Styela clava: one gene and its partner. The protein of the gene in region 2 purifies or fractionates together with the protein of the main gene of each other region. This does not show direct contact. Links are inferred from orthologs where the notes say so. Each region holds a gene or a part of one and is shown on either strand. Other genes may lie near its edges.

Region 1 (10,783 bases), on a different chromosome or scaffold from region 2:
TACACAGGCGATACATAATCATACATAATAGAGTTGGCACATCTATGCCACGATGTTGTTTAAAGTAAAAATTTTTGTCGATATGTGAAAGGTATGAAGATCAGCCCTCTATAGCGGACACACCTATGTCACACCCAATTGGAGTACAACATTGTCAAAAGAGGAGTAAATTATGTCCAGACTCCTAACACACCAACCTCCTCAGACACCCCAATAATAGGTAAATATGCCTATGTCACACATATTTGCAATTCAACACAGTACACATGCCTCTACCCCACCCACATTTTAGGCCACACCCATATCTTTCTAAGCCACGCCTCTGACACACCCACCTCTTCATCCTCTTCAGGAGACACATAATCAATTTCGAATTCTTCATCTTTCTCCAAAACCATTTTAAATTTTTTCTTCTCATTTTTTGATTCTTTGTCTTTTTTCTTGTTCTTTAATTTTTTGGAAGATTTGCTGAAGTTTGAAAGAAAAATAAACATTATTTGAAAGTTTATTTTTCAAATTTAAATGCGATTACGATCAGGTTAGAGATATGTTTTCTAATCGCACATATATAAATTCAAATGGGATAATTAGACGCAAAACTCCAAGATACACAGAGTGGTTCACATGACAACTGGTCGATTATGAATTTCTTTCCCATCAAATACATCTAGACTCGGGGCCAAAAAATTTGCCCACCTAGGCTAGGGGGCCATGTGAGTGTGACATAAAAAGATACATTTTATGAACAATATTTACAGTGTTACAAAAGTAAAAGTGGAAAACAATGAACCCCGTGCTAAAATTAAACTCAATCGCAAAATAGCTTAAAGTTTTCATTGTTTCACTCTGAACAAGACTCAAGACAAGCAGATACTCGTACATGATGGGGTAATACAATTCTAAAAGATGGAAAACCACATATTCGCTCCCAATGTATTGCACCCACAAGATAGCTCAGATTGTTTGTTTTTTTTACAAAGGTTTTCAGAAGTGTTCTTGTTTTTTATTTGGGGAGGTATATCGGATTATTCTTCCAAATAACTTTGAATATTTTTGTCCAGGTGGATCATTTTGCAGCAAAATATAATGCCCGATATATAAACATTGGGCTCTTTGGTGTCAAAACATATCTCAGACTCAAAACCAATGATCTATACCTCACTCAGGGTGGAATAAACGAGTCGGGCTATTCTAAACACAAAGTAGATACTGACATATTGTTAGCTACTTGTCTAAAGCCTACTTTGGAGCAAAGAGGTTCAAATAAAATTTATTAAGTAGATTTCAAGAATTCAGAATTTTATCTATAAATTATTAAAACGAAAATTGTAGTATGGCATTAATTATGTTCAATTTTAACTGTTTTATATACCCAGAATCCAAATCATTTTGTACTGTAGCCCATAGGCGTATCTACGAATTTTCAAAAGGGGGGGAGGGGGGGGCTCTGGATTTTCTGATTGCCAAGTTAGACAGCATGAGCTAGCAGGTCCGGTCGGAGGCCAGAATAAGCGGCTTTTAATGAATCTTGAGAGTCTGAAAGCTAAAAATGCCTTTTTTACGTTTCAAAAGGATGCTCCCTTCACCCCCTCTGGCTACGCACCTGGTACAGCATGAAAGAGTGTGGGGCTCAAATGTGTTGAGGGGGTTGCGGATTAATTATCTTGGTTTTAAACCCATGCCTACAACCTCGCCACCCTAAATGTAATAAATACCCAATGCCGAACTAGAAAGGTGTCAGCCTTCCCGAAAATATATTCAGTAAATGCTTATACAGGGCCTTATTCGGGGTGAACACATGTTTAAAATGCTGACTCATCAGTTTTTTTACCTGTTTGTTGATAGACTTGAAGGTGTTGATGCTCGACTGCTTCCTGGACTTTTGTTGCTAAAAAATAAATGATAGGTATTAAAAATCAAACAACAACAACTTGAAGCAGAAAGAGTACGAATAATGTTACGAGTGAGTAAGAATGAATAATATTTCTTTGTAAGTTGTGGGAAAAGTTGCCAGACAGAAACCACTGGTTCCCTATACAGAGTGTCCATAAAGTCCCTTCACCATTTTAATTCTGTTATGAAGTCAGTTCTCAATATATCTTAACTATGTTTGTTATTTTTAATCAGTAATTGTTCAGGTATTTTTACTTCATTCAATACATCTGTGAGGGTCAAAACAATACATGGTATCGACAAATTCCCTTTAAAAAATTTCAAGACTTTAAGGACACCCTGTATATATATAAATAAGATCAGATATATTCTATAATGGCATGAATTCGCGATTGATTTGCCGACCAAGCCGATATATAGAATTAAATAAATGTCAAACAAGTCTTTTCGGACAATTATAAAAGCATACTGAAGAACAACTTTTTAAGCACTTTTTTTGAATAGAAATTCGAAACTTCGGCAAATTAAATCGTTTTGCTATACACCAGTTGTGCTTCACTTATTTCCGACATGAATATACTTGGTGACAATCATGCGCTATTTTTAAGCATATTTTTCTCATATTTTCAATGTTGATTTTCAGAATTTAAATTCGCCAACACATTTACCACACAAAGTGTTTAATTAACAACTTTAACTGGGATTGTTAGGTCAATTCCAATTTTTTTACAAACTCTTTATTTTTTTTTAGCGAATTAAAAATTAGGTTATTGCTTTTATAGAACAATATTTAGTGAAATGCAAAAATAATTCAGTCTTCTATCCTGCAGAAACATTTCGACTTCGAACTATACTCCAGAGGGTACATTGCGCAGAATTTTCCTATTATATTTTGAAATTCATTACATATATGGAATTGCCTCTTTATTAATCAAATTGAAATCAAATGTTTTGTGTCTAGTGTTGAACTGCATTTACTGGCAGATAATTCGTCAGCATAATTTTATGAAATTTCAGCCATTGCCATTTGTACCCTGATGTAAATAATTTAGCCGGGTGTATTTATACGACAAAGATTTGAGCAAACTTTTATAAAGGAAGAATAAGAAACAGTATTTGTGAACAATTCATATCATTTTTTAAAGAGACATCTAGACTAGAAGCAAGACCAACTAAAACTATAAAGACTTGGCTATAATAGCTTTATGTTCACGAATATTAAAGGTGTTACGGTAGGCTTCAAGACATTTGTATCAGAAGATACCTGCTGACCTGAGAGAACAGCCAGGACAAACACCAATTGCAAAATTGAGTGAGACAATAGCTTATTGTGCATCAGTACTTATGTCTACAAATGCACACACAGATGAAGCTATTGCTGTATTGCCTTACTACCCAATGCTTCCCTAGCTTTGTTTCAAAGAAGGGTAAAAATAATTAATAAAATTAAATCAACACACAATTGACTTCCGCATTTAGGAAATCCCAAAACCCTTTCAAAAAAAATAGGGGTCTGCAACCCAAACTGTCAAAAAAAAACTTTCCCGCGTCTACGTTGCGTAAATTCGGTTCAAAATGGTTTCCCGGGAAAAGCCGTTTGTAAGACTTGCTCGCCGGGTAAAATTTTCAAAATTTCGACAAAAAGCACGTCCAAGGGTGATCAAAATCACAAGACACGGTTGAGCAAGCACAGTGACATCACACAACAACAATTCTTAATGACCTCACAGTGACGTCATCATTTACCTTGGCAACAACTTTCGGGTTGCCGCAACCCACCCAGGTGAATTTGTCAATTTCTTCAATTCCGCGTTGACTTTTTGATCTCCGGCGAAACAACTAATCCATTCACCCTCTCCGTTTCGTTGCTTTTTCTTAAACATTTTCAATTTCTCCATTTTCCACCCAAAATTATTGAATTAATATCGGTAACTAAGGACAAATCACGTATATTCCATCGCCATTGCGTCACTAGACCGCCGCCATTAAAAAACGTCCAGGCACCTCGCCGTTGAATGTCACGTGATGCGCAAATTAACGATAAGCATACTTGTCGATAGTTCAGCACAGCGCTCCATAATGTAATTTCGCCTAACTCGCGATGTTTTCATCGTATTTTTGAATATGAAATAAAGCTTATTAAATTATTTTGGCAAATATGATCTACATAACAACTGCTTTTAATCATTAATGTTTTTTCTGTTTTGCAGGATCTCAAAAATAAAAAGTGTAAAAAACAGGAAAAACTCAACTGCCCCAAATCGAATATTGTGTTAGCTAAAATGTACCCGATCATGCCTCCGATAATATGAAACGGAAATAATTGATCATAAACGTTGTTAGTGTTCATTAGTTAGAATGAGGAATTATATAGATTTAGTATAAGGCCTGAATCGAGCAAAATAATATATAATTCCACACGCCTGCTCACCAAAATATTAAATTGGTACTATAGATTAAGGCTCGGCAATAAAATTGCCAACTTCTGTTACAATAATGGTTATTGTTGTCGAATTAAAATAACAATTGAATAATGCAGTCTTGATATTGAAAAAAAGCTGAATAGATGCAAGAGAAATCTTCTTAGGCCCAATGTTGTTACTGTAATTCCGAGCGCATTGGTTGTCACCAAGAGCGTAGACAGTCCAATATTGGGGGCGGGGGGGGGGGGGGGGGGGTTGGTTGGTTTAATAGGACGCTCACACTTACTCAGGTCAGCCAGATAAAAGCGGTCACATATATGGTGACAAACAGAAGTGAGAAAAGTTTTTGGACCCGGGGCCATGTAAGTGTGACGTTAAAAATTACATTTTATGAATAATATTTGTGTAATAAAAGTGTAAAATAATGAACCTCGTGACAAAATTGAGTTTAACTTGTTTTTTAACTAAACTTTTGTTTTCAACTAAAACATGAAAATTAGGTTTTAGTTTGGTTGTGAAAGCATCCGCGGGCCATATTGAATTACCAAACGGGCCCGATTTGGCCCTCGGGCCGTAGCTTGTCCATGTCAGCTCTAAAGCCTAAAGCGAATTCGCTGTCGAAGTTATCCAAGGTATACAAAGGCGCAATTTCATCTATCTCGGTTGGTTCATTTAGTAGAGTCTGGAGGAAGGATTATTGGTAGCAACCCAAGAAACGTCCGGTTTTCGGTGAATGTGGGGTTGGAAAAGGCATATAAAATCATGTCTTACAGCAAACCCCGAAAAATTGCATTTGGAAAAAATGTTGAAAAAAAATTTACTTCTGAACCCTTAGCCCCGGCAAGATTCTAATTCTACCAAATATGAAGTAGGCTAGCTCACTACATATCGTTATTGCATAATTAATCGAAGCAAAAAGCGCGAACAATCGACATTTTTGACAAAAATTGACAAAAAGTTGCCAACTCGTCGCTACAAACAAGAGCGTAGCCAGTCCAAGTTTTTTTGCTCAATGACGTAACACTACGCTTACTCGTGCCTTTTGCTCCGAACAAAGCCAGATAGAAGTAGTCACTGATATATACCACTATCTTAAATCTCTCTGCATACTTACTTCGCTGTCGAAGCTATCCGAGGTTTTTAGGCATTCGTTTTCATCTATCTTGTTTGGCGGGAGGATTGTTAATAGCAAGCCAGATTATGTGCGGTTTTCATCAAATCGTTCAAGAATAGAGCAAAATGGTGCTGGAAAAGGCGCATGAATTCATGTCGTACTGCAAATACCGCAAAATTGCATTTAAAAAATATCATGTGACCGCAGCACATACACACGAAAAATACAAAACTGGTGTTTTCTACATGAGCGCAGAAATAAATTCGATGAAATTATTCTCAATGTAAACATGTCTACGACTCTACGAAAGAGGCGGTTTAACGAGGCTTGGTCCACAAATAAAACACACGAATGTATTGAACTTTCGGACTGTGGTACTTCTAAAACACTTAGCTAATAATATTCAATCTGATATCGTGTGGAATGCATTATTCATTTCTTTGACAGACACTGAGACTTTATCATTTACGAAATACTTTTTACAGTCAAGTACGTTTATTTTTTTGCATCATGATGATGTCATAATACATGCATAAGAATGGTTTGCGCAAATATATCTATTACGTCATAAGTAATGAAACTGTAACATGCGCACAAATGCGCGATAGTCTTTGGAGTTTATAAGTTGATGCTGCTACATGCTGATCTATTTGTATTTACCAATACAAACTGTGTTTCTGAAAATCTGAGTATTCATATGTTCATAGCAACGCCTCTAGGTATCTTGACGATAACCCAACGAGACATATTTTAATTTTTTAAAATATAATTTGATCGTACTTAGGAATGGAACGAGATTCGATATCGAATTCCCACATTTTCAAGATTCGGATTCAATACCAGCAGGTTCGCGTATTCTTGCCGAGTCCGTAGTCAATTATTTTTTCACAAATTGAAAAATCCGTTATGTACGTTCACCTTCAAAACGGCGAGTACAGACAATTCAAGATATTTATAATATTTTTACTCAAGGTATCGCAAGCTTCTTTAATCCACACCCTTTCTCGATAACTACCCCACTGACTAATCTACAGCCTACATACCAGTATTTTCCCCAGCTTTTCGTTTGAGATGGGTGTTTCAAAATAAAGGGGTGGTAGATATTTTGTTATTAGTAATAAAATTATTTGTAGCTTATATAAATGTGTTATGTGTTTGACTAATCATCTTCACCGGCATATGAGCCACTTTCTGAATATTCAAATACATTTTTATTTATGTTCAGAATTAAAGTGTGGTGTCATACCTCAACATTAGGGAGGTGTAGGGATATTACTGCTACATACTATAAACTTTTTGAGCCGCGCCCCCTTTTTAGAGTTTGTCAAGTCTCGCACCCCACCTCAAAAATAACTAGATAACAATAAGCTACAAATAACAGATAGTAGAGCGAAACACGTTGAAAATACGTGGATAGAAAGTAAATATCCAAAATGAGGCGGATAAGATCAAATCTAACAAATATATTTTTTAAAATTAGCTTCACGCCCCTTGTGAGGCGCGCCCACTATTTTAGAACCACTGTACTATGGTAATAATGTTATATTTACGTGTATATATGTGTATTAACCATTAAGCAAAACAAGCAAGCGCTGATTGTAGCCGCGCCGAGTTGCTAAATGCACCGGGAAATTTAAATTATTTTATTAAACTTAACCAAATATGATTAAATATTTTATTTATTGTGTTTATACAATACAATTTTATTTCGATCTTTCGTATACAACATAGAGATACAGAGAGAATACAGAGACAGTGGCGACAGAAAGACCGGGAACTTGGGCAAAACCTAAAGAAATGTTTATAGCGAACGTTGTAACCAGCGTTTGTGCCCATTCACTTACACTCACACAAGTGGAAAAAAATACTAAACAGTATACATGAACACGAGAAAGTAATATTCACGGGCTAAACTTACTTTTACAATGAAGATTGCGAAACACGTGGAATAATAATTATGTGTCGGTGCATGTGCCGAAATGCGAATCCTAATAATGACATCTAAGTCCCGCTTTGGCATTCAGTCATCCAGCCTAATACACGGACATGTTCACGTTACCGTTATTGCTGTGTAGCGCAACGCTAGCCTACTTACTGAAGGTGAATGCGTTATTTTGTTTGTTTCGTTGTTATATGTAAAATCAGTTCTAATTGGTCCTGTTCGGACGTTCACGCGAATGCAACATTGAACAACGTCTTTTTGAAGGTGTTATCTACAGAAAAGCATGCTTGGGCGAAAAAGTTAATTTGGATCATTTGTAATTTTGTATCGTTAGCGTCTATTCCTTTCTATTTTTCCAACTGAACCCGATATTTGGACAGAGAATATGCGCATGAACTCTCGATGACAATATGGTCAATGAAAGACAGCCGGGATCGCTTTAAATTCAGGCCTATGTAGTAAAATTGGAAACTGTAAAATTACAGGATCACAGCTACGGGGTCGTGTCTTTGGAGGCGTCCCGCTTTGAAGTCAAAAAATATGGTAACCCTACTTGGGCCTAAATGTTTACAAACTTTAAAACGCAAAAAGTACACATTAACAATCACAAAATTGAGTTTTATTGAAGTTGAAGGCAGCAATTTATTTCTCGTTTTAAGTGTGCCGTGATTTTTTTCCTTCCTAATTTGGCGCCACACGAACAAAAAGTTTGGGGCACCAGTGAAGCACAGAAATTTCCATAGAGTATAGACGACCTGCCATAGAATCACAAGGAATGCATTTATTTCAGTAGAATAGAAAACGATTGACCATACTTTACATTAATTAGCTTTTATTTCATCATAATACGGGGAAAGATGGCGTGCGGCCTCGTCATATTTTTCGTTTTCTTCTCAGTTAGGTTAGGATAGGGTTGACATAATTATCCCGGGAGAGAGAAGAGTCGATGACACGGCTTAACCATATGGCGAACCACGGTTCGGTTACCATTCCATGTCGGGTATGGGATTAGTTAGTTACTTGTTTTCGGAAGCATGGACTTGATGGTAGAGGAAGCCATAACCGGCCAGCGGTTACGTGAACCACCCAACGGCGGCGAGCAATCCAGCCATCCAAGAGATAAGACGGTCAGTTAGCAAAAGAGATATAAAAAATCAAATTGATGAACCGTCTTCCATTCTTATTATTCCTCCACCCACTGACAGAAATTTGCTCTGCAGATTACCTCGTGCGTCGTGTCGACGATGATTTCATAATAACGCATTTTTATTGTGAAAAGTAAACTAAAATGAAGCACGATTGACTCAGTGGTGTGGCGCATTGTGCTAAGCGTTAGGAATACACTCGCCACCGCACCCTGATTACACTGCGTGGGTTCGCAGGTTTGAATCCCATGCGGGGATAATTGTGTGCGAAAAAATTGCTGGACTTCTCGCCGCCATTGGGTTACGGCTTTCTCCACCATAAAGTCCGCGCATCTGAAAAACACATAACTGGCTAACTAATTCCAAACCCGACGAGAGGCAGCGGTGCCCGTCTTATTGGCTTTCCATTCCCTTAGGGCTACAATTAAAAGCATAACATTTCATATTATATGCACAAATATTCACACATTCAAATAGTTGAAGCAGCGCACACGATAGTCCCATATGAACGCTTTTTTGTTCGTTGCACATGGTTAACCCCTTTCGTACTTGACAGTGCCCGGAGTCTCTTTTCTGTAACAATTCACGCTTGGTGGATAAAAAAACGTGTTCTCATGAATAAAAAATAATACAGCTAGCAATTGGATGCAATATCACGATTCATAAAAAAATTTTGAAATACTGTAAATAAAAGTATTTATACCTTCTAACGAAAAATATAATTTTTTATCACAAAAAAGAATCTTAACAACAGTATCATAATATTTAAAACGATTCACAGGCCCATTTCGTGTCCAATGAAAGACAACACCTGACGCGAAAATAGGAATCAGCAAGGAGGCAGTTTAGCTATTACCAAACAACGAGTCTTTACCAAGTCCGCGCCTTAAAAAAGTTAATTATTCCCACAGCAGGCATGATCGGACGAAGGCCATTCTTATAATATGATTAAGTTGTCTCACCGACGAGCCTCGTAAAGGTGGACAATTTCAGAATCCAATCTCGAAAGATATTCAATCGTATGTGACTTTTTTATTGGTAAAGGTCTTCAAGGCACAAAAATTACTTGAAACATCGAACCCTCCACTCAGTTGCCGAGCGTTCACATACATTGATAAACATGTTTCAATAAATAAACGAGAATATCGGTCGGAGACCGAAGACTTATCGATCGAAAGTTAGGGGATTCCCAAAACAGCGCTCTTACGCAATAGTGACACCATGTGTCCCATCACTAATTAATTAATAAATCGCTAATTATACGAAATAATTCATCGAAAATCAATAGGCTTCTGATCCGAGCTATGATGAATGCACATGCAAAATTTGGAGCAGATTCAACCTTGCTTTCGTGAGATATCGCGTGCATCTAACAGACAGACAGACAAATACCTACCAACATACTTACTGATCTTAAGATCGATGGGTAAAAATTCACCCAGACCTTTGGCGGCAAAAAAACATGGCGGCGATTCGAAATTTTCAAGATTCAATAATTTACTATTCGAAATGCCCAGTTCTAATCCTCTCACCGGGATAAATACGAGAATATGGTTGAACGATCTGATCTACCGAGAAATCCCTCATCGCCAATAACTCACTAGAAAGAAGATTCCTATATTTGTCTGAATTCTATTGTAAAAATATGTCACCCAGACAGTTGGCGGCAAAAAAAAACACAAGATGGCAGCAATTCAAAATTTTCGTCTGGACAGATTCGAATCCACTATTCGATTGAAATGCCCAGTACTAATCTTCTCATCGGTGTAAATACGAAAATGTGGTTGAACGATCTGATTTACTCAGAAATCCCTCATTTACAAAGAGCAACTAATTTTTTCACAACGTAAAGTTTATTAGATGAAAATACACAAATAACGATCGGCAGCAACAAAGTAACAAGAGGGCAAGGAGTTGATATTGCCTAGCAGGGGACATATCTAGGGTGTGGCAGCCATGGCTTGGACATGGGTCAAAAACGCCAAAAAATCTCAATAAAATAATTTTAAATCGTAAATAATTTAAAACTCGTGTTTTGGTGCTCCCGAAGTATGCGAACCAAGACAATTTTCCTTATTTTAGTCCTATTATCAGTTCGAAGACTAGCCAAGAGCCTTCTGCAGTATTTATATCTAAAATTATGGCCTAACCTTAACCTAGTACACATATTACATTCCGATGTCCGCCATCTTGGTTTGCATACTTCGGGAGCCCCCGTGTTTTTACTTAAATAATAATGTACCGAGATGTTAATTCAACAACATTC
Region 2 (9,857 bases):
GTCACTTTGTGACCCGCGAGTCAGTGGTTCGCCATCCATGGTGTATGAGATGTTAACGATAAATAAAAGAGTTAATCTGGAAGCCAAATTTTCCACATTGAAAAGCGTTATTATATAGAAAATTGAAACAGAAAACACCATAAGCTTTCTTTTAAGAGGGCCGCAACAGATTGAAAAGCCATTTCAGACATTGTAAATCTCCTAATTTTGTGTGCCTACGGTACGTAATATTTCCCGGTTGTCTTTGGAAATCATACCGTCACTGAAATAAATCTAAACACAGCCAATCGTGCTCGTGATGAGACTTACCATAATTTCTTGGGCATAATCCGGGACAAACTCGAAACTATAAATAAAATAACTGGACAAAAGACCGAAGGCCTGAGCTTGGCAAATTTTTATTCCATATTTATAAGCTTTGATATTGCATTACGCTACAGAATCTCAAGTTCTAGATTACTTTCAGCATAATATGACTCAAACAAAACCAAATGAAAGTTATTATTCCGTCTCCAACTCCAAGCATACCTAAAATGGCTTCTAATGCAGCTGTAGTTTCACCGAAGTCAATAGAATAATGACGCAATAAACGTCACTCATTATTCCATAACTAAAGGATTTCTCACAATAACAATCTTGTAAATAGGAACAGTGCTGTCAAAAATATTGTAAATTTGAAGAGTCTATAAAGGATTGTGGATTTAAATTTTGCGCATATGCTAGCCCTGCGCGGGCAATGCATAAATGACCTATTACCTATAAATACCAATAAACACCTATCACCGGAGCAATGGGAGGATGCAAAGCACAAGGATCTATACTCGAAACTTAAAAGCAGACACCACAACCAACCCCACGAAAATATCAATTGGGAGGAGGTTAATCTGCTCAGGAATCGGCCCAAATATACGAACGCTGAAAGGATAATATCTTACCGTATAGTAAAGGACGGCTATATTTTCGGCGATCGAATGGCGAGGCATGAGCCTTAGGCACGGCCCATTCGGGATCATAAAAGTTATGAACTGTAAATTTTGTAGAGATCCGTGTGACAATACTAAGCACATATTTCTGCATTGCAAGATCATAGCGGCATATGTTGCAAGTTTAATAGAATTTCTAAATGAAATTCTATGCGGGACCACCACAATCTCTAGAGAACAAATATTCCTTAATAGTTTCAATGGGCCAAACGAGATTGCGGTTACAAAATGTTTCGTGCTACTCAAACAGGCAATTATACATCTCTCTAGCTATAGAAAGTCGGTACATCGCTCCCACAGACGGAAATATTACAGAAGCCGCCATAACCAAATTTTCGGAATTTCTTCTCGTAATGGAAAAAAAGGTTCACAGATATACAATTTCTCGGCATACAAAATAACTGGAAGGAAATACTTAACGGATATCTTCTGCCATGAAACCGAAGCCGGAATTTCTTCTCGTAATCGAAAAAAGGTTCACAGATATACAATTTCTCGGCATACAAAATAACTGGAAGGAAATACTTAACGGATATCTTCTGCCATGAAACCGAAGCAAAAAAAAAATGGGAAATGATGAATCGGAAGCTTCACGGTGGATGTCATGCTGTGTGCGTGTTACACGTTTTCACACAGTGTGTACGGAAGCCGCGTCGGCGGAAGTTGAGCTGTGCTATGCATGGCATTGACGAAGCCCTGGGCGAATGTCATGCTATTTGGCACATAGTATGTACAGAAGCTCAGGGCCGAAGTTTGTGCCACGTAATGCAGAGCAGATACGGAAGCCGGGGTGGCGGAAGACACTGATCCGAATTTGGGAAAATTCTGATCCGTAAAACTAAAAAAAAAATAATCTATAAACGACCCTGAAATTTTGTAAACATCGTTTTCCATAAAAGAGAGTCATATTTTTTGCACTATTGTGGTTCTTCTCCTGGCTCTTTAAAAACATCTTTCTTTCTATTCCCATTGCTTGACATGGTAATACCATTGGTGTATTCTGGTACCAATTTAAATGAATTCATGTTTGATCACTGTTGATGAAAAAAAAACGTTCTATGAATCTGCCTATCACACTATCGTGACAGACAGAAATAAATATTTTCGCAATCCTGGTGAAGTTTATTGCTAATATTTTAAGTAAATTCAAATGAATTTCCCACAACACCACAACCAGCATGGAATTTCGAAGCATGAGGAAAGAACAGGCATACAACTGGACATAGTCCACAAACGCATTTACTAAAGGAATAAATTTAACAACACTAATACAAAATAACATTCAAATATTTGGAGAATAGAAACAGATAAGTTTTGCATTGCCAATGGCCATTATGCAAACCTCATCTGGCCCAGAGTCACCAGTGGTTTTGAAAACACCACGATTGTAACTTCAAATCCCCCCCCAATAATTTTTGTTATCTTTAATTTACACTACGCAATAAAAACCCTGATCCACAAAAGATTTACCATCTTAAAGCTGTCCTCCGCCTATAGTCCAGTGAAAAGGCAAGGTTGGATATGATAGTCAATATTAATGAGAAGCAGCTTGATTGGGACGGCCGACTGTCTCATTTGATTGACCAGTCCCCTTTAGACTTATTCCATTCTAGTGTACTACAAAAGTTGAAGGAGAAGACCAACAACATATGAAAACAGCTTTGTGTTTCTAGGATATTAGCTCTTACATCTTTCAACCCTGCTGACGTCCAAACTCACTCATGTCTGCTCAAGATCCAATGGAGGTAATGGTGGAGGGTTGCTGACAGCCGACTCTGACATGTCGCCTGGTATCTTGGGCTGTGAACTGATAAATTGGTCTAGTTTCTTGAGTGATGATGAGGACTCGTCTAGATTTTCTACATCAACTTCAACCACAGAGTCTGTTACAACTTGTTCTGTAATTATGGCTTCTGGCACTTCAATAGGTGGATTCGAAAGATTGTCATTAAGAGTTTCCACTGGTGAGGAGAGCTTTTGCTTTTTGCTTGGTATCACGGTGGATGCTGGAGTCTCAATAAGAGTAATCTGTGAAGAAAAAAGAACAGAACAAATAACAACGAATACAAAACTCGCCGAAAAACAATATTACAATTATGAAATTGAAAACGTAATGATAAAAAAAAAATATTAATTCATAGTAATGGTTTTTTGCTTATACAATTTACGAATCACAAATTGCCTTTTACCTTTTCTTTATTTGGTATTTTTTTTGGAGTATCAGGTGCAGGACGCTTGTTACCGGTAGATACTGGATTCTTTGCCGGATGCTTTGGAGCAATTGGCACTCCTGCTTCATTAAATACTTTTCGTTTTATAGCATGTTTGACTTGGCTCCTATAACACAAAACATATGTGTTTTTCAATATGAAATGAATGCCTTGTCTCAAGCCATCAAGTTATAAGACATGGCAACAACTGTTAAAATTTCATTTTGCTTTCCAACTGTAATATATTCAATATAACATTTTACTAGTTGTTCCCGTAGGGTATGTATCAAGTTAGGGTTGGGCCATAATTTTATTCCGATCCTCCTTATTTCAGGTATATTACGACTACGAGTTCGGGGACTGTCTGTTTTAGGCAAGTCCCCTGCCCATAGGTTCTAGTCTCTCTACACAACTTGATGCAAAGTAGGCGAACAAAATTCGTTACCTCCTTATTGGTACACATACTTCTGGAGTGCCAAATTTTGTATGGCATAACATAGGCATTTCAGAAACGTATTTATACTAAAAAGGAATATGCAAATATTTCCATTTAATATATATCCTACATAGTTCTGGTTTTGATAACAGAGCTAACTTTTTCAAGGTCATTTCCAAATTGTTGTACAGCTTGTCGCAGCATCTCCACTTCTTCTTCTGTCCATTTTGAACTGCAAAAATTAAAAAAAATAATTTGTAAATAATTGATTAGAAAATCTCAAAAAATGAATTTATTACCCTGGGACTGCTTCATATTGAGTGTGTAACTGCATTGTTAGCTCTCCAAGACGATTGAAGGCCTGGCCAGCAGCAGCAAAAACCTGGCTGACCTACAATGGAAATTCAACAAATTACAAATTAGAACAGTGGAAGTGGAAACTGGTGGCCTACTTTCTATAATGGCAGCAATGGGCAATATACAGTACTGGGCATGCAAATTACAAATTATAGGTTAATACTGTAATAGACGATGACATAATTCAGAAACTAGCAAATGAGAAAATAATTGTGAAGGAATATTAGGTACGGTACCGGTACGGTATCCATTTTCAACTCTAGATGATTTTCTTGACCACATAGAATACGGTACGGTACAAGCTTTGAATCTCATCATACTGTTATAGGCCTATGGTTTGTTCAGTTTCGTCATTCAGTTATTTGTTTTTAAATGTATGGACTTGACGGGGGAGGAAGCCGTGCCGTAACCGACCAGCGCTTACGTGAACCACCACCCTACGGCGGCGAGGAGTCCAGCAATCCTTTCGCTTCCTCGCGCATAATTAACCCCGCCCGGGATTCGAACCTGCCAGCCCACGCAGGATAAAACATCAATAAATAATACCTTGTTTGCGCTCACAGTTTGAGGCATGTTCATATCCAAAGTTGAAAGCTACTCAGTCGGGCTAACGCTTCAAATTCAACAGCGAGCAGAACAAAACGAAACGCGAACAGCCCCGGGAAAAAACAACAACTTTTGAAGCAAGAGTCATGCCTGGGTGCATTTACCGATGGCTGTTTCCCGACCCTTGAGCTCAAAATTGACTTATCGCAGGGTTGCATAAAACGTCATCGTTTTGCTATATATTTTAACACTTTCCGTGCCACGGGCAGTTTATTTATTTATTTTTTTGCAATTTTTACCATTCCGTGCCATGGTGCAAACGATAGTTCTTCTCTCTTATTTTTTCTCCCTCGTATTTATTTTTTTCTGCGATCCGATTTTTTCATGCACCTAGTCATTTCGTCGATTTTCGGTCACTTGTAGACATACAACATATATGGATTAACTAATACAAACCAGCTCGTCAGTTAAAGATAACTGGTTTTGGCGATACCGTTTGGTGGGTTGCGACCTTCAACTGAGAAGTGTAACAAAACTTGAAGATAACCCGACTTGACCTGTCATTTTGATACAGATTAGTAAGGAGTGGATATCTAATGTACTACAAGGTATAACAGCCCATTATTGCGACTTACCACAAACGGAAAACGTTTAATCCATATCGGGGTCCTTATTCTTTTTCTTTAATTACGATACTAGAAGTATTAAGAATAATTGTAAAAACACACCAAATTGTGATTTATACCCACTCTCCAGCTTTGAAGTTGATGTTTATCAATTTAGTTTATCATTTATTCGACCTATGTTAGACACTATGTTTTCTTTGCCAGTTTTAATAGTCACTATAGTTCACTTCAATCGAAATAAAACTAGCAAAATTTAGTGATTTATCGGGTCTTATAATATTCAAAAAAGTTGAAAAAATGTGAGCAATAGCTTGCTAGCGACTTCTTCTATCTTTTAATACTCAAAAATTTAAATTAGGGCAATAGAGTGCCGACGTATAAGACGTATTTAGGTGTTCATCAGACGACGATATGTGAGGCGTTTTTCGAAACAGCAGGTCAGGAAGTAAAAATACGAAAGGATTTTGAGATCAACTCTCGATCAGTTTAAGTATTGTTACCTTGCTTAAACGATAAACAAAAAATATTATACAGATTATACCTTGTTCTTTTTAGGACGTTTTCAGAAAATCTTTTATAGACAAAGTATATTTGAAAACTTTATTGTGGGAGTCCTTGGAACGTGGGAAAACTAAAGTCAGACTGGAAAATTTTTGACACTGTCAAAGCACATTCACACGCAATTTTGATAGTGCGAAGAGGAAAGTATGTAGGCCTACCTGCAAAACTGTGGTTTAATGCCTCTGTATTCTGGATTGATCCGGATAACCGGTTAACGACAGGTATTTTGCTATCTGATATCCGGATGTTATTGTGACCATTAACCGGATAATAAAGTAGTATAAATAATACACATGCTCATTAGTGATTTTGATATATTTTGTTATGTGACGGTTGACATTCCCCGCGCACACAGCATTTAATAAAAGCTTTTATTTACACTTCTTTGCCTATATTTTAGCTGTCCATGAAATACTGGAATGAACTCCAGTATCACATCACAAAATACACAAAAGAATCGTGATTAATATGTAATAGAATAGCGCATTTGCTTATTTAAACTAGTTATGAAGCTGGAAGTACATGCAAGGCTGTAAGTGTAAACGAATTCAGATGAAAAGCTTTGAAAGGTTGGGTGTGAAGATGGTTCAGTCTGGAGAATGGCGGACCGCGAAGCAATTTTAGGGGGACCGCGAGACAACATCAACTTCGGCCCAGAAGCACTTTGATTTAAAGCAAAATTTTGATGTAATGCTTTTACAGTATTTCTTCAAAGCACGACACGTTCTATCGACATTGTTATGTAACAAGCGTTGGTGAACGTGGCAAATAGCGTAAATCGGAGCGTATGGACCTTTCCCCGAGTATCGACTTCCTTGGTCACTTCGTGACATTGGTCAATCAGCAAGAAGCAAAAAGTGACGTACAATGCTCCCTTTTCGCATCCGCTCAGACACTTTCCTCACCTCAGACAGATTTTCAAGCGTGGTCATAAACATTACCTCGCTTTCGCGTTTTTGAACTCTATTCGTTAGTTTTCTGTTGTGTTTCGGAAACTTAAATATAAATTAGATAATTCAATGATCACTCTGTCTTCCAAGGAGTTTTAATTTAATTACAGTAATAAAAAAATAGTGTAGAAATAGCTGTGATAGACTAGGCTAAAATTCTTTATCGGTAGTTTTAAAAAACAGATTGTTGTATGCGAAGAATCATAATAATGGTTCGAAACACATACCCCGTTTTACAGGCGCCAACTCGCAAAAGCATTCTTAAAATAGCCCCGAAAATTTTGCAATGGTAAAGTATGGGAAGAATTTTTCGGGGGTTAAAGGTCGGGGAAAGGTCCATAGAGGCAAAGCAAAGGAGCTTCAAATCTCGTCTATTGATGGTAGCATCGATTAGCCTAGTGATGCAATCGAAAGAATCGATTGTGTAGCTTGGTATGTGGAATAGGATGGCCCATTGCCATATTTTGATATTAATGAGTTGACAATTACCGGTATCGGTAATTCTGGATGGTCTGAAAAGATTTGTTCCCTATGGCGAAACATGGACTGGGGTTCAATGGGACATGCGCTACAGGTCACAATTCGACAGTGTTTGATACAATAAGTGCTTAGAGACCTAGAGATGCGTTATATTTCGTGTAATATTATGGTTTCTTTCGATCCATGGCCCAATATGGAATATATTCGAGAATCAATATTATTTCCAGATTTAGATTCAAGAAAGGAAATAGTTTTTCTGTGCGTCCATGCTTCCGAAAACAAACAATACAGTAAAACTAATCCCATACCCGACTTGGAATGGTAACCGGACGAGAGGCCGTGGTTCGCCATATGAATAAGCCGTCTTATCGCCTTTCCTCTCCCCCGGGATAAATATGTAAATCCTATCCTATCCTTTTGTGAAAGTTTTTGTTAAAATATCTGAAATATTTCAGTTGAACACTGATTTTAAAAATATTGAATCTTCAAATTTGAATTTACGTATTCGATTCTCCACCGATCCTAATAACCAGTATAATTAATCAAAGCTTTCCACATCTTTTCACGACCCACTAAGATTTCTTTTGCAACCCACAGTTTCGGAACAGCTGGTCTAGACTGATGTCTCTTTTGTATTTTTTTAGCAGGATATCTTAGAGAAAAATGAATTTTAAGTCTTTAAGCATATTCGTTATTGTGTTCTATGCCAGATTGGCAAATTCAGTCGTTTTGGAGTTAGACGACAGATTTCGTGAGGCGAAAAAACAGGGTGAATGGTTGGTAATGTTTTATGCACCATGGTGTGGTCATTGTAAACATCTCGAACCAACTTGGATGGAAGTTGGCGAAGCTATGAAAAATACAATGCCTGTGCATGTAGCAAGGTTGGATTGCACAAAGTATTCATCCCTGTCGAGTGATTTTGGTGTTCGGGGATTCCCTACAATCAAGTTTATATCTGGGGACAACGAATATGAATATCGTGGTGCTAGGACAAAAAGTGACATAATTGCGTTTACTCTCAAGGCAAGAGGTCCGAAACTTACATCTTTAACAAACTCTCTTGAACTCACAAAAACTCGTGAACTGCATTCAGTATTTTTTCTTTATGTCGGAAATGAAGACTCAGACCTTCGTGAAATCTATGGTTCTGTAGCAGATAAATTATTCTTGACACTGAATATGTTTGCAGCATCACCTGACATCATGCCAGATGTGAAAGAAACACCAACGGTTCTGGTTTTTAAAGATGACACTTATTTTAGAATGCCCCTGTCATCTCAAAGCATAAAAAAGGCACATCTTACGCATTGGATGTTGTCTGAGCAGCTACCCGATTACAATGAGCTAACAGGTAGCTCTTACCATTCCCTCAAAGGTACACATAAACAATTTGCTATTGCTGTTCTTGCTGAAAAGGATTACAAATATTTGGACACTATTGCAAAAGATATAGCTACATCACGAAACCCATTATTCCACCCTAAATTTATATTTTGCTGGGTATTGGGAGATAGCATCATAAATAAGATAACTTATAGTTCGATCCCAACTCCGAATTTTATAGTTTTTGATCCAAGTACATACGAGTATTTCACCATGCGTAGTGACTCTGATGAAACCAAAATTGTAAAATCGGACATCACTAGGTTCTTGAGCAAAGTTATTGAAGGAGAAATTGCTTCACAAGGTGGATCTGGCGTTTTCCAGCAAATAAAACGTTTTGTGTCTGACACAACAAATATAGTCATAAATTTCTTTAAAGAAAGTCCGATTGTCGCTAGTCTTGTTATTGGCATACCAACATTTGTGATCACTTTTTTATGTTATTGTCTTTGTACAATGGAAGATTCCGAAGCTGGAGATTACCATACAGACTCCGAAAACGATTCTGGTGAAGATGACAAAGAAGAGGAAGAAAGTGAGATGATTCCAGAGTATCAAGATGATACAGATAAAAATGTGAGAAAAAGAAATGTTGAACAGGACTCCCAGGATGAAGAGTCACAGGCTGAAGAATCTCAAGATGAAGAAGAGCAGACAGCAATGGATGAAGATGATACAAAAGTTGAGACTAAAAAATATAAATAAGTTCAATCACTGTGACTGCTCTTACATCTAGCCAATTGTCATGATTCCACCTTATTTCAGTCAAACCAAACTGCAATACACATTTTAAATCGGATGATAAATTTTCATTTAGATATCTTACTGAAGGAATCATATTGTGGTCCATACACTGATACTTGCAAACACAAAGTTTCAATTATATTTCACTGTTATTTTGTATCTGTAAGTGTGATTGCTTTTGACAATAGCTTGTTCGACTGAAACAAGGTGATCTTGACTTTTGGAATTTAACACGCATGATTGAGCCAAAACTTGTCTCCTCTCTATGCATATTAGTGAGATTTTAGGATTGAGGATAAGCAGTCAATAGAGATCATCTGTACAGTGTGAAGTGTTATATGTCGTGAAACTGAAATTTTTAGTGTTATTCTTCAAACCACTTTATATGTTCTGTATCAAACTATCAATTATTTATTGATGTTGTGCTGCTCATATGTATTGGTGTTGTTAATGTATTCGCACCTTCCTTTTGTTATATTCAAGGCCTACACAATGGCCATTCACAGGATATTTGCCTGGCATTACAAGATATGCACAAGGGACTGTCTGTTTTTACGATTTTGGAATATAAAAATTTG

What was found.
Region 1: the proteins of BPTF-associated chromatin complex component 1-like (region 2) and nucleosome-remodeling factor subunit BPTF-like purify together in Homo sapiens (affinity purification with mass spectrometry; 5 studies listed by BioGRID and IntAct, with this or other methods). This does not show direct contact. The link is inferred for Styela clava from reciprocal best matches to the Homo sapiens genes BACC1 and BPTF.

The regions. Positions count from the first base shown.
Region 1 is NC_135262.1:1,333,864-1,344,646, forward strand, and holds the start of nucleosome-remodeling factor subunit BPTF-like, read right to left. Parts: upstream 3,899-10,783; 5' UTR 3,792-3,898; coding exon 3,640-3,791; intron 1,889-3,639; coding exon 1,832-1,888; intron 469-1,831; coding exon 336-468; intron 1-335. UniProt on the Homo sapiens protein: Regulatory subunit of the ATP-dependent NURF-1 and NURF-5 ISWI chromatin remodeling complexes, which form ordered nucleosome arrays on chromatin and facilitate access to DNA during DNA-templated processes such as DNA replication, transcription, and repair.
Region 2 is NC_135258.1:20,123,711-20,133,567, forward strand, and holds BPTF-associated chromatin complex component 1-like, read right to left. Parts: upstream 4,708-9,857; 5' UTR 4,566-4,707; coding exon 4,533-4,565; intron 4,021-4,532; coding exon 3,929-4,020; intron 3,862-3,928; coding exon 3,760-3,861; intron 3,321-3,759; coding exon 3,173-3,320; intron 3,012-3,172; coding exon 2,703-3,011; 3' UTR 2,083-2,702; downstream 1-2,082. Other genes in the region: protein disulfide-isomerase TMX3-like, read left to right, coding at 7,813-9,240. UniProt on the Homo sapiens protein: Component of chromatin complexes such as the MLL1/MLL and NURF complexes.